3 linked regions of the Alligator mississippiensis genome follow. The protein of the gene in region 3 interacts with the protein of the main gene of each other region in a pairwise test. Links are inferred from orthologs where the notes say so. Each region holds a gene or a part of one and is shown on either strand. Other genes may lie near its edges.

Region 1 (3,969 bases), on a different chromosome or scaffold from region 3:
AAAACGTGTCATACCTGCACAATGAACACTACACTCTAAACCAGGATACCTTTGTGCACACCAAAAAAGCATTTGGGAAGAGAGTGAGCTTACTGATGCAGGCACAACACTACATCATGGCAGCTCCATTACATATGGTTGGTGCATAGTTCATGAAGTAGCTATAGGCTAGAACAATCCTTTGATGGTATAAACATGCCATTTTATTTAATATTTCTGGAGACATCTCTAGGATCAGGAAGAGCTCTCAGTTATTTTGCCAAGCAACAAAATCTGTCCTGCTATCTTGAGACTAGCTATGAAGTCTCCCCTCCCTTCCCCAACCCCACCACTAACCCTCCCCACATAGTTAAATTTTCTCTTTCCTTAGAAAACAACAACTCTCACACAGCCTTGCCACAGTTTCCTATTGTTAGGTATCACTTACTTTTCATAGTTTCCTCATATCCAATTTTGTTCTGCTATATTAATAGCTTCTCTGCTATGGGCTCTGAAACATGACATTTAAGCTAAGAAAAACTCCACAGCTGACTGTGAACGCAGTTGCATTTTATTCTTACTTTGTATTTACACTTTCAAATGTCAATATTATTCCAGTTAATCAGAAATGATCAACAAAGAAACAACTGCTACCAAGTGGCTGGAAGTAGCCCAACATTGCTCAAACACTAACATGGAAGTAATTTAAAAACATCCTAAAGAGAATTACAGGCAGTCCCTTTGACTAGCCAGCTTACAGCAGGTAACAGATGTGCACTCTTCCATCCCCATTCTTATAGTGATGTTTCTAGTGCTTGTGATTCACCTGAAATTATACTTGAAATTAATGATTCTGAATGCATCTTGGCAAAGATCTTTTTAATTACTCCAAAGAACATTTAATTTTCTAGCTCAAGATAGGTTTGCTGCTAGGTCAACACATTCTTGGAAAGGTTTTTATTATATGGAACATGATTTTGCATAAAAATGTTCCTGTCCAATGACCTTTCTTCCATTAGTTGTGAATACCATAATATTTAAAGTATACACAACCCATTTAATGTTTTACCCAGCAATTGAGTGCATCTCCATAGCAACATTTCCCAGCAACCTTGAGCCCAAGGGATATAAAAACATTTCAAGAGCGGAACCTGAAAGCATGCAACCATCTTAATCTGTACAACAAATGCCATTTTTAAGAGCTAAAACGTTCAGGACAAAGAACGTCTTAGAAATGGCACGTGTTGCAAAATTTAATTTTTATCATTGGCGGGGTGGGAAATCCAGGGGATGTGGAAAAGCCAATATATTAAATCAGCATGTTTTAGGGTTTTAGCAAAGGACCCAAGAACCGATATTTACAAAGAGATCAGATCTCCAATCTTGTTTCCCCCTCTCTCTGCGCCTGATCTGATTCCTGTGCAAGTTGAAAGCAAGTCTTGACTTCACAGCAAGTCAAATGGAGTCCAATTTAACTAGACCCAAGTACTGCTCCCTAATGCTTCCTCCCCTCAACTGGACATTCGGACAATATTGGCTACAGAAGTTGAAGTCCCAAAGCAGTGCGCTATATCAGGCAAACCACTAGAATTAACTATGAATAAAATCATTACTATGTTGTTAAATGGAAAAGACAAAGGAAAAGGATAACAGTTTTAAAGCAGCTAAGCTACACCAGTATTCTGTCTCTTCTTTTTTTCCCCCCCCCCACCCGATGTCTTCCAGAGCTCACAGACTATAGTCAAAATGCCAGCAAAAATTGTTCATTTTAACATCCTGACTGTAATTCAACATGAAGGGGAAAAGCATAAGGCAAAAAGCTGCTGCAAAAAGGGCAGTTCAGTTTAAGATTTTCCACTGTGAAAATACTTAACCTCTGTTGTTTACAGCAGCTTACCATTGTTCAGGCTAGAAATAAAGCAAATCTGCAGTATAGTAATTCCTCTGTGTGCATGTCACTGGCCAAGCTAAAACTCCCTTACTTCTGCCATTTGCAAGCTCCAGTGAAATTATCTTAAGTATATTCATAGCTTCAAGAAAAGCCCCTGATCTGCACAGGCTCATTATAAAGGGAAATTCTACAGAGAATCGCGATATGCTGCTTTCAGCTATCTTCATTCACAACAACAGGGACTTGGAGAAAACTGTCCCTGATTGACCTGGACATTTTAAGTAATTATTGTGTACAGTTAAAAAAAATAACTTCCACATGCTGGAGACAGAATCCTAATTACTGACTTAAACTACTATTTAAGCTATGAATCTCTAGTTCCTAACTATTTTTTATTGTGTTGGTTTTAATTTTTTTATAAATGTTAAAGTCATGGACAGCTTATTTTGCTCATGGACTGCAATATAAATACATTTACAGAGTCACTTACCAGAGCATTGACATCCTCAGTTTTGTAGATCAACATCCGTATCTCCTCTGGATCACCACTGAAAATTGCTTGAACCAGTGGTGGCTGCCAAGGTAAAACACAAAGGAACAATAAAAAATGTGTTTTTACTGTTTTAATAGATGGACATTTTGGCTAAGTACAAACAGCGAAAAAGCCCGGCAGAATCAATTCAACCTTTGCAGGTTAATCGAAGCTGCACACACTGAACAGATATGCAAGCGAGCAGACATTCACCTTTGACTCCAGAGATGCAGCCAAATGCCCGCAGGGGCCCAGGCCAGAAGCTGGAGGGTGCAGTGACATACTGTGGGTCTCTGACACCTGGGGGCCAATATTTACATTTGCACCCCCCTCCTCCCCACCCTATTCCTGTCCCCAGCCGGAGATGCTGGTGGCAGAACCAGATACCCCATAGAGGGCCCAGCCAGTGCCCCTCCCAGACCACTGCCCAGGGGCATGGCCCCCCCATCCCCCTGTCAATATGCCACTGGGGGCAGTGCTAGGGCACATCTCCCTACTCACTGCAGCAAACAGCTTTGGTCAAGGCTAGCCCACCCACCCTGTAAAGGGAGGTTTGTGAGGGAGGTACAAGGCATTCTGGGATGCTGGGTGACTGAGTTAACTTGAATCTGGAGGGGATCTGGGACATAAGTTCAATAAACCAATATAACCTAAATCAGTTAAATCTGATGCTACATTCATCCGGGTTCATCTTAAACTGGGTTTTGAAGTGTCATTGATAGGGTTAAGATGACATTGTGTGCGGGGTACGTAGACCCCAGCCCCAGAGAGGGGCAGCTTTGAGACGCCCCAGTGCGGGCACGACGAGCCCCAGAGAGGGGGCAATATTACTAGGAAGCCCAGTGCAGGCACAACGAGCCCCGAGAGAGGGGGCAGTGTTATTAGGAAGCCCAGGACAGGCACAGCAAGCCCTAGAGAGGGGGTAATATTATTAGGAGGCCCAGTGCGGGTGCAGTGAGCCTCTGAAGAACGGCTAGTGCTGCGGCAAACCCCAGAGCAGGGTAGAGTGCTGCGGTTGCCCCGGTGAGAGGGGGTAGCAGCACGGTGTGCCCTGAGAGAAGGGGAGAGCAGCGCGGTGGGCCTGAGAGTCAGGGGGTATTGCTGGGAAGTCCCCAGAGTGGGCGCAGAGAGCCCCAGACGGGGCGGTATTTTAGAGGCCTGAGTGTGGGCGCAGGGAGAGCCCCAGGAAGGGGGCATTACCGAGAAGCCCAGCACGGGTGTAGCAGGTCCCAAGCGGGGGAGCTATTGCGAAGGCCCCAGAGAGGGGCAACATTACAAGGAGGCCCAGAGAGTGGGCAAGAGCACGCAGAGGAGGCCCGAGAGACGGGCAATATATATTTATAAAAAGACATACCAGCGTCTTTCCCATCAGCGAGGCTTGGGGCATGGTATTAGGGGTGGTAGAAGCCACGCGTAGCCCATAAGGCTAGGGTGCCCCAAAACACCCAGGGGTGCAGGATAAGACCCACGAGGGGTCCAGGAGTGTACATGCCCAAGGAGACGCAAGGCAGCCTCCCTATTATATTTACCAGGAAGATGTGGCGGGCGAGAATTTGAGGGTGCCCTT
Region 2 (3,969 bases), on a different chromosome or scaffold from region 3:
TGTGTTGTCTACAACATTACAGATCGCAGCTATCGGGCCGATCAGACCTGCCTGAGATATATGTAACCTTTTAAATTCAGATTGTCAAAATGTCCTTTTGGTTTGCTCTTGTTGGCCTCTAACTCAAAACACTTGGCAACCTGTGAGATTAAAGATCCAAACTCCACCTCTTCTTAGTCCAGGGAGGGGAGAGCTCCCAGTCCACACCTGTGGGTCCTTCCAGGGATGCAGTCTGTAAAATCAGGTAAGACAAGGAACAAGAGGAGGGCAGTGCTTTATTCTGTGCCCTTTGCAGGTCTCCTCTGAGGAAGCTTTTATCCTCCAAAGTGTACACCCAACCCAGGCAGCTTCCTCACTCAGCAGAGCTCACCCTTGCGCTGATGAGAAAAGATGCAGCTTGAAGCTTTAACCTGGGGCCAGTCATCGGCAGTGCCATTGAACCCTGCACGTATCAGAGCAATGCCTTCACCGCCAGAGCTAGAAGATACACGAGCTAAGACCGCAAGAAGCTTACGGCCACTGCAAGTGACCTGATCGCTGTTAAGACGTGGCAGCATGCCATGCACAGTGCCTCCGGGTGCATCCCTACCAGGCAGCTGCGCTGAGGCTTGCCCCTTTGCAAGCCTCTTTGTTGGGGCTGGAAGGAGACACAGGAGCGGGGAGGCCTTTGTGCTCCTTCCCACAAACAATCTGGAAGAGACTTCCCGAGGAGGTGGTGCAGTCCCCAACCTTGGACGTCTCCGAGACGAGGCTGCGCAAACACCGGGCAGCTGGGATCGTTTCATCTCCGCGGTCTTCCTGCCCAGATCAGCGGGGTTGGACTGCACGATCTTTCGAGGTCCCTTCCAGCCCTTCGTTTCTATGATTTCCCAAAAGCACACACTGGTGGGAAGCATCTGAGCGCTTTGGGAAAGCACGGCACGGAGGTCCTCAGCAAAGCCTTCGGTGGTCCTCTGGCAACACTAGCGGGTTCGGAGGAGTCAGGAACACGCGGCCCCCCCATGACGGAGCAGGTGTCGTGCTGCGGGGTGGGCAGCGGTCGCTTGTCAGCGGCTTCTCGCCCCCCCAGCCCCGGGGTTTCAGTGATGCCAGCAAGACGCCGTGTTATGTAAGAGATGAGGACACATGGGAGAGGCCGGAGAGCTGCCGGGAATCAGCTGGCATCTCCCTTGGTAAAGCCCCAGCTCCAGGAGTCCCGGGACAATGCAGCCGCTGTGTTGCTCGTTGGCCGTTCCCAGCCTCATGACCCCCAGCCCTGGGATGACATGGGGGGCGAGGAAGGAGGACATGTTACATCTATTATTCAACGAACTGACTAATACGTGAAGACTAGCCACGTCTGCACCAGGGATCAAAGTGACCCTGGCTACACAGCTAAGAGCTGGCTGTCCCAGCTAGTCTGCAGCTGGCTTTGTGCAGTGGAGCCCCCTGCCACACCCAAGATGGCACCTGCTCGCCGCGCCCAAGATGGCGCCGCCCGTCCAGCAGCGCGTGTGCCCCTCCCAACATGGCGGCACCCGCCCAGGCGCACGCGTGCCCCTCCCAACATGGCCGCCGCGCACCTCCCTCAAGATGGCGCCGGAAGTGAGGTCAGAGGGGCGCCGGAAGCGCAGCGTGGGCCCTGAGCCGGCTGGGAGTGCGACCGGCCGGGGACGCGGCTGGTTCAAGCGGCCTCGGAGCGCGGCCGCGGGGGCCATGTCCCGCCCCAGGGAGGTAACGCGGGGCCCCGGCACCCCCGGGTCGGTTCTCCCCCTCAGACCAGGGGCCTGGCCCAGGGGGTGGGGCGAGGGGCGCCTGTCCCAGGGGTTGGGGTAGACAAAAGGTCTGTTGAAGGTGTAATCGAGAGCGGGCGGGGGAAATCTTGGCCCTTGGAAATGGATGGCGGGTGGAGAGGCTGCAGCCTCTGGGGCGGGGGCGCGCAGGTGAGGGGAGGCTCTTTCTGAAGCGGCGGCGAGCTCTCGAGCAAGCAACGTGAAGAGCGCTCCCCTTATTTTTAAGTCGAAACTAGTGGGTTGAATTCGGTGAGGGAGAGGCCGGGTGCTGACGAGGGGGAGGGGGAGAGGCAGCACCCCATCTCGGGCAGCGGTTCCCGAACTCTGGCGGGTTGCGCGGCGCCGATTTAAAACGATACCACCTTAGGTACCCCCCAAATTACTGCCCTATAAAGAAAGGATAATAAATCTGTTAACGCGCGTCACTGACAGGTTGTCTGCGTACCGCGGTTTGGGAACCGCTGATCTAGAGGGAAGCGTAACTGTGCGGGCGGCTGGAGCGCGCAGCTCGGTGCCTGAGGAGCCGTATGCCCGCTCCTCGCGGTCGGACGGGGTCTGTCCCCGCTCTTCTCTGACTCCGCCAGGTGTTTCCAAGTCAAGTTGCTCCTTTTTGCTTTCAGGACATCCTGGGCGAGGAGAGCGGGGAGGACTGCCATGTCATGGACCTGATGGGGTTCTCCGACGAGATTCTTCTGCATATCCTAAGCTATGTCCCTAGCACAGACCTCGTCCTCAATGTCAAGAGAGCCTGCAGGAAGCTCGCGATGCTTTGCCTTGATAAGAGTCTAACCCACACCGTGGTGCTGCACAAGGACTATCAGGTGGGGGAAGCTTCCTTGATGGTCAGACTGGGCAGTATAGCAGGCGGGGGAAGCTTTCTTGATGGTCAGACTGGGCAGTATAGCAGGCGGGGGAAGCTTTCTTGATGGTCAGACTGGGCAGTATAGCAGGCGGGGGAAGCTTTCTTGATGGTCAGACTGGGCGGTATAGCAGGTGGGGGAAGCTTTTTTTGATGGTCAGACTGGGCGGTATAGCAGGCGGGGGAAGCTTCCTTGATGGTCAGACTGGGCGGTATAGCAGGCGGGGGAAGCTTTCTTGATGGTCAGACTGGGCGGTATAGCAGGCAGGGGAAGCTTTCTTGATGGTCAGACTGGGCAGTATAGCAGGCAGGGGAAGCTTTCTTGATGGTCAGACTGGGCGGTATAGCAGGCGGGGGAAGCTTTTTTTGATGGTCAGACTGGGTGGTATAGCAGGTGGGGGAAGCTTTTTTGATGGTCAGACTGGGCGGTATAGCAGGCGGGGGAAGCTTTTTTTGATGATCAGACTGGGCGGTATAGCAGGCGGGGGAAGCTTTTTTGATGGTCAGACTGGGGGGTATAGCAGGCGGGGGAAGCTTTCTTGATGGTCAGACTGGGCAGTATAGCAGGCGGGGGAAGCTTTCTTGATGGTCAGACTGGGCGGTATAGCAGGCGGGGGAAGCTTTTTTTGATGGTCAGACTGGGCGGTATAGCAGGCGGGGGAAGCTTTTTTTGATGGTCAGACTGGGCGGTATAGCAGGCGGGGGAAGCTTTTTTTGATGGTCAGACTGGGCGGTATAGCAGGTGGGGGAAGCTTTTTTTGATGGTCAGACTGGGCGGTATAGCAGGCGGGGGAAGCTTTCTTGATGGTCAGACTGGGCGGTATAGCAGGCAGGGGAAGCTTTCTTGATGGTCAGACTGGGCGGTATAGCAGGCGGGGGAAGCTTTTTTTGATGGTCAGACTGGGTGGTATAGCAGGTGGGGGAAGCTTTTTTGATGGTCAGACTGGGCGGTATAGCAGGCGGGGGAAGCTTTTTTTGATGATCAGACTGGGCGGTATAGCAGGCGGGGGAAGCTTTTTTGATGGTCAGACTGGGGGGTATAGCAGGCGGGGGAAGCTTTCTTGATGGTCAGACTGGGCAGTATAGCAGGCGGGGGAAGCTTTCTTGATGGTCAGACTGGGCGGTATAGCAGGCGGGGGAAGCTTTTTTTGATGGTCAGACTGGGCGGTATAGCAGGCGGGGGAAGCTTTTTTTGATGGTCAGACTGGGCGGTATAGCAGGCGGGGGAAGCTTTTTTTGATGGTCAGACTGGGCGGTATAGCAGGTGGGGGAAGCTTTTTTTGATGGTCAGACTGGGCGGTATAGCAGGTGGGGGAAGCTTTTTTTGATGGTCAGACT
Region 3 (3,969 bases):
CCCTCTCAGCACAATCTCCCCAGCCAGGCCACACGGCCAGGCACAGGAAAACCAGGCCTTCGGAGCTGCCTTTCCACAGGCTTACCCCGCTCCTGCACGAGGCTCCCCTTTGTGCCCTGAGCTTATAGCACTGCTGGGCCTCTTACAGGACAACGCATCAGCTGGGCCCAGCCCAAGGAGGCCCAGGTGCCTCTCAGCAGTGGCCAAAGCGAGAAGCCAGCCCTGTTGCAGGAACCTGGGTTCCAGCCACCAGCCCAGGGGGAAGAGTGAGGTGTCGGGGAGCCCAGAAAGGAGGCGTCTCCTCTGCGGTAGTGGGGCAGTGTCATGCTACAGCCCATGGGGTGCAAGAAGGGCGACGAGAGCAGGGGCAGGCCAGAAGCCGGGGGAGCAGCCGGAGGTGTCGGGAGCCCCCTGGCGGCCCTCCGGGAGCGAGCGCCGGCTCCACCTCCTACTTGCCAAGTGGAGCGAGGAGCGAGCAGAGCCCCAGCTCCAGCTCAGCACAAAGGCTCTTCCTAGGTCTCCTGCCCAAGCCTGCCCATGAGGCACCTTCTACAGCTCAGCCACTGCCCAGGGCCAGCCCGGGGGCCCCAACTTCCCTGTGGCCAAGCCCACCCTGGCTAGGGATCGTCCCCCACTCTGGTGCTGGGATCAGGGCACTGACAAGAGGCAGCTGCTAAATCTGACTCTGGAAGGCTTTGTGCCTCTCAGGACTTAGCTGTGCAATCCCCGAGCGCAGCTGGCACCCGCGGCTAAGCCAGCCTTCTCCCCATCGCACCTCCTCCCAGGCACCGGGAGGGAGTGCAGGGCTGAGGAACATCCTACCCCTTGGCTGGAAAGCAAGGTGTTCCAGCCTGGACAGGGCTCCTCCTTCCCCCAGGCCCTGCCCTGCACTCACCTTTCAGCAAGAGCTGGGATTTCTCACAGGGCAGCCCTGCCCCGGCCCTGCTGCAGCTGGCGGAGGCCATGTCATTACCACGGGTCTGGAAAGCAAAGACAGGCACGACACATGAGCGAAGGTTCACAAGGAGCCAGGGGAGCCCAAGGCTGCGTTTGATGAGACCACCCCGGCGGGGCTGGGACCGGTCGCTCCCAGATGGCCGGCAGACCCTGGCGATGCCAGAGGCGCAGCCAGAAGTCAGCACTGAACCGCAGGCCGGGAGCAGCCCAGCGGCTGCAGCGCTGCTGCCTGGCCACGGCCGACCCCCACGGGCCTGCCCACTCGGCGTCACGAAGGAGCCCCCGGCAAGAGGCTGAGCACGTGCGAGCAACACACAGCGGGCCTCACGGGGACGGCACCGCAAAGGACCGGGGCCCCGGGACAACGCACAGACCCAGCAGCCGATCTCACGGCCCCGCTGCCCCAGCGCAGCCGTCTGGCTGGAGAAAAGGAGCTGCCCGCGTGCTCGGGGGCCAGAGGCAGCTGGGCGGCGACGCTGGCTGCACCTCCCGCGGCACAACCGTGGCACGCGGAGGAAAGGAAGGGCCCGTGCCGCAGCGCAGTGCCCATCGGGATCACGTCCTGCCTCTCCACGCCTTGGTCACCTCTCCTCCGCGCGGACACACGTGTTTATCCTCGCGCGCCCCGTTTCCCAGAGCGGGGCCGGGCGCAGATCGCGACCCAGCTCACACGCAGCTTTTGCGCTGCTGCCCTGCCTGGCCAGGTGCGACCGTTGGGGAGGGCGGAGCGAGATCAGGAGCCAGGTGCCTTCGGCTGCCAGACTTTGCCCCTCGTCCCACGCAGGAAGCCGCGCTGGCCGGCGGCCCCTTCGGCTGCAGGCGTAGCGACGGCCAGGAGCCGGGCGCGCGGGACGGCGCTCGCAAACCCAAGTCGGGCTGGCGCTTGCCCGACCGGCGCCGGGAGCTGCGGAGGGGGAGGGGGAGGGGCAGGACGGGGCACGCGCTAAACACCCTGGCAGCGGAGAAGGGCCGGAATGACCGCTGTGCCGGCGCGGAGCCGCCTTCCCTGTCGCGAACGCCGACCGCCCCTGAGCCCGCCGGCGAGGGAGGGGCGGCAGGGGGTCCCCCCGCCCCAGCCACCCACCTCCGGGCCGCAGCTCCGCGGGGCCGGGAAGGCAAGGAGGCCCGGCGCCGTGTCCACGGCCGCAGCGCATCCCCGCCCCGGCCCGGGCCCGGGCCCGACTCGCACCAGCTTCGGGGCGCCCCGCGCGGCCCCGCCCGCCTGAGAGGAGGGGAGGGGCGGGGGCAGGGAAACGCGCGCTGGGCTCGAGCCGTTCCCCGGGCAACCGCCAACGGCCACCCCCTCCCCCCGCTCCGCGGTTACCGGCGACGGCGGCGCGGCACTTCCGGCTCGGCGCGCGGCGGTCATGTGACGCCGGCAGGTCACCTGACCCAACGGGAGGCGGGGAGGGGGGAGGAGCGATAGCGATCCCGGCGTGCCCCGCGCGGCAGCCCCCCTCAGCCGCCCGCCGGACTACGACTCCCGGCATGCCGCGGGGCGTGGTCAAGATGGCGGCGGTGGAGCACGTGGTGGTGGACGCGGGCGCCTTCCTGCGGGCAGCGCCGCTGCAGGTAGCTCCGGGCCGGGCCGGGCCGGGCCGGGCTGGGCCGGGACTGCGGGGGGGGGGGGGGGGGGTCGGCGCGGGGCGGGGCAGGGCGGGGCGGGGCTGACGGCGCCTCCCCGCAGGACATCGGCCGCCGCGTGTACACGGTGCGCGAGGTGGTGGGCGAGATCCGCGACCGCGCGGCGCGGCGGCGTCTGGCGGCCCTGCCCGTCCCGCTCCTCTTCCGCCAGCCGCGGCCCGAGCACGTGCGCCTGGGTGAGTGCTGGCCCCCGACCCCCCGGCTCTGACGCAGACACCTGGGGGTGCCCCTGACCCCGCCCCCTGGGCCAGACGCCTGGGGTGCCCCTGACCCCGCCCCTCTCCCGGCTCTGACCCCGCCCCTAACCCAGACGCCTGGGGTGCCCCCTGGCCCCGCCCCTCTCCCGGCTCTGGCCCCGCCCCCTGGCCCAGACGCCTGGGGTGGCCCTGACCCCGCCCCCCTCCCCGCAGTGACGGAGTTCTCGAAGAAGACGGGCGACTTCCCGTCGCTGTCCCCCGCCGACCTGCAGGTGCTGGCGCTCACCTATGAGCTGCAGGCCGAGACCGGCGGCGTCGCGCACCTGCGGGCCGAGCCCCAGCACCAGGTATGGGGGGTGGGGTGGGGTGGGGAGCGGAGCGGAGCGCTGCCCCAGGGCAGGGCACCGTCCCACTCCGGGGTGAAAGCGTGCACAACCGACCGCCCGGTCACGGGTCACTGCCCTGCAGGTAAAGCTGAGCTCTAGCATTCGGCACCCGGAGGCCCCCGTGCACGTCCCTGGGTTTCACCTGCCGTCCAAGGTACGCTCGGCGCCCCCGCGGGCGTAGGCGTTGCTCCGTGCGGGCCGGGGGAAGCGGTGCACGGTAACTTCCTTTAATTTGTCCAAACCCAGTGCGCGCGCACAGAGGAAGAGGCGCCTGCGTTCGCGTCCGCGTCGGAGGGTCAGCCGTGCGAGAGCCCCGAGTTCGGCTCCTTCCTGTACTGGAGGAAGCCCCTGCCCAGCATCGAGGAGGACCTACGAGAGCTGCTGGTGAGCAGCGGCGCGCCGCCCCCGTCGTCCCTGCCTTCTGCCTGGGTTTGCTCGTCTCTGGGAGGGCTCATCTCGCCCGCATGGGCACAGCTGATGGGGTCTCTGTCCCCCGCAGACAGGCGATCCGGTTTCCCTTGCTGTGGAGGAAGAGGAAAGTGCCTCCGAGGAGGAGAGTGAAGAGGACAGCGATGACGAGAAGGACTGGATAACCCCCAGCAACATCAAGCAGATCCAGGAGGACGTGGGGCGCTGCGATGCTCCCCCCGCGGACGTGCAGGTCGGGTGCGTCACCACCGACTTCGCCATGCAGGTAAGCGAGGAAGGCGCCAGACGAAGCACGTGTGATTTGGGATAAAAACACTGGGTCTTTTTCAAAGGGAAGGAAAGTTGAATCTCACGGG

Evidence for each region.
Region 1: the proteins of WWP2 (region 3) and ANKRD44 interact in binary tests that used the Homo sapiens proteins (3 or more experiments, as listed by UniProt). The two-hybrid records come from large-scale screens. The link is inferred for Alligator mississippiensis from reciprocal best matches to the Homo sapiens genes WWP2 and ANKRD44.
Region 2: the proteins of WWP2 (region 3) and FBXL18 interact in a two-hybrid assay, tested with the Homo sapiens proteins (3 studies listed by BioGRID and IntAct). The link is inferred for Alligator mississippiensis from reciprocal best matches to the Homo sapiens genes WWP2 and FBXL18.

Annotation. Positions count from the first base shown.
Region 1 is NC_081827.1:192,931,194-192,935,162, reverse strand, and holds the start of ANKRD44 (serine/threonine-protein phosphatase 6 regulatory ankyrin repeat subunit B), read right to left. Parts: upstream 2,470-3,969; 5' UTR 2,397-2,469; coding exon 2,361-2,396; intron 1-2,360. UniProt on the Homo sapiens protein: Putative regulatory subunit of protein phosphatase 6 (PP6) that may be involved in the recognition of phosphoprotein substrates.
Region 2 is NC_081836.1:53,253,474-53,257,442, reverse strand, and holds the start of FBXL18 (F-box/LRR-repeat protein 18), read left to right. Parts: upstream 1-1,577; 5' UTR 1,578-1,695; coding exon 1,696-1,713; intron 1,714-2,392; coding exon 2,393-2,593; intron 2,594-3,969. UniProt on the Homo sapiens protein: Substrate-recognition component of the SCF (SKP1-CUL1-F-box protein)-type E3 ubiquitin ligase complex.
Region 3 is NC_081833.1:76,450,588-76,454,556, reverse strand, and holds the start of WWP2 (NEDD4-like E3 ubiquitin-protein ligase WWP2), read right to left. Parts: upstream 2,378-3,969; 5' UTR 2,327-2,377; coding exon 2,282-2,326; intron 2,132-2,281; exon of another isoform or gene 2,042-2,131; intron 981-2,041; coding exon 896-980; intron 1-895. Other genes in the region: RNA-binding protein NOB1, read left to right, coding at 2,446-2,529, 2,645-2,777, 3,012-3,145, 3,267-3,338, 3,431-3,568, 3,684-3,878. UniProt on the Homo sapiens protein: E3 ubiquitin-protein ligase which accepts ubiquitin from an E2 ubiquitin-conjugating enzyme in the form of a thioester and then directly transfers the ubiquitin to targeted substrates.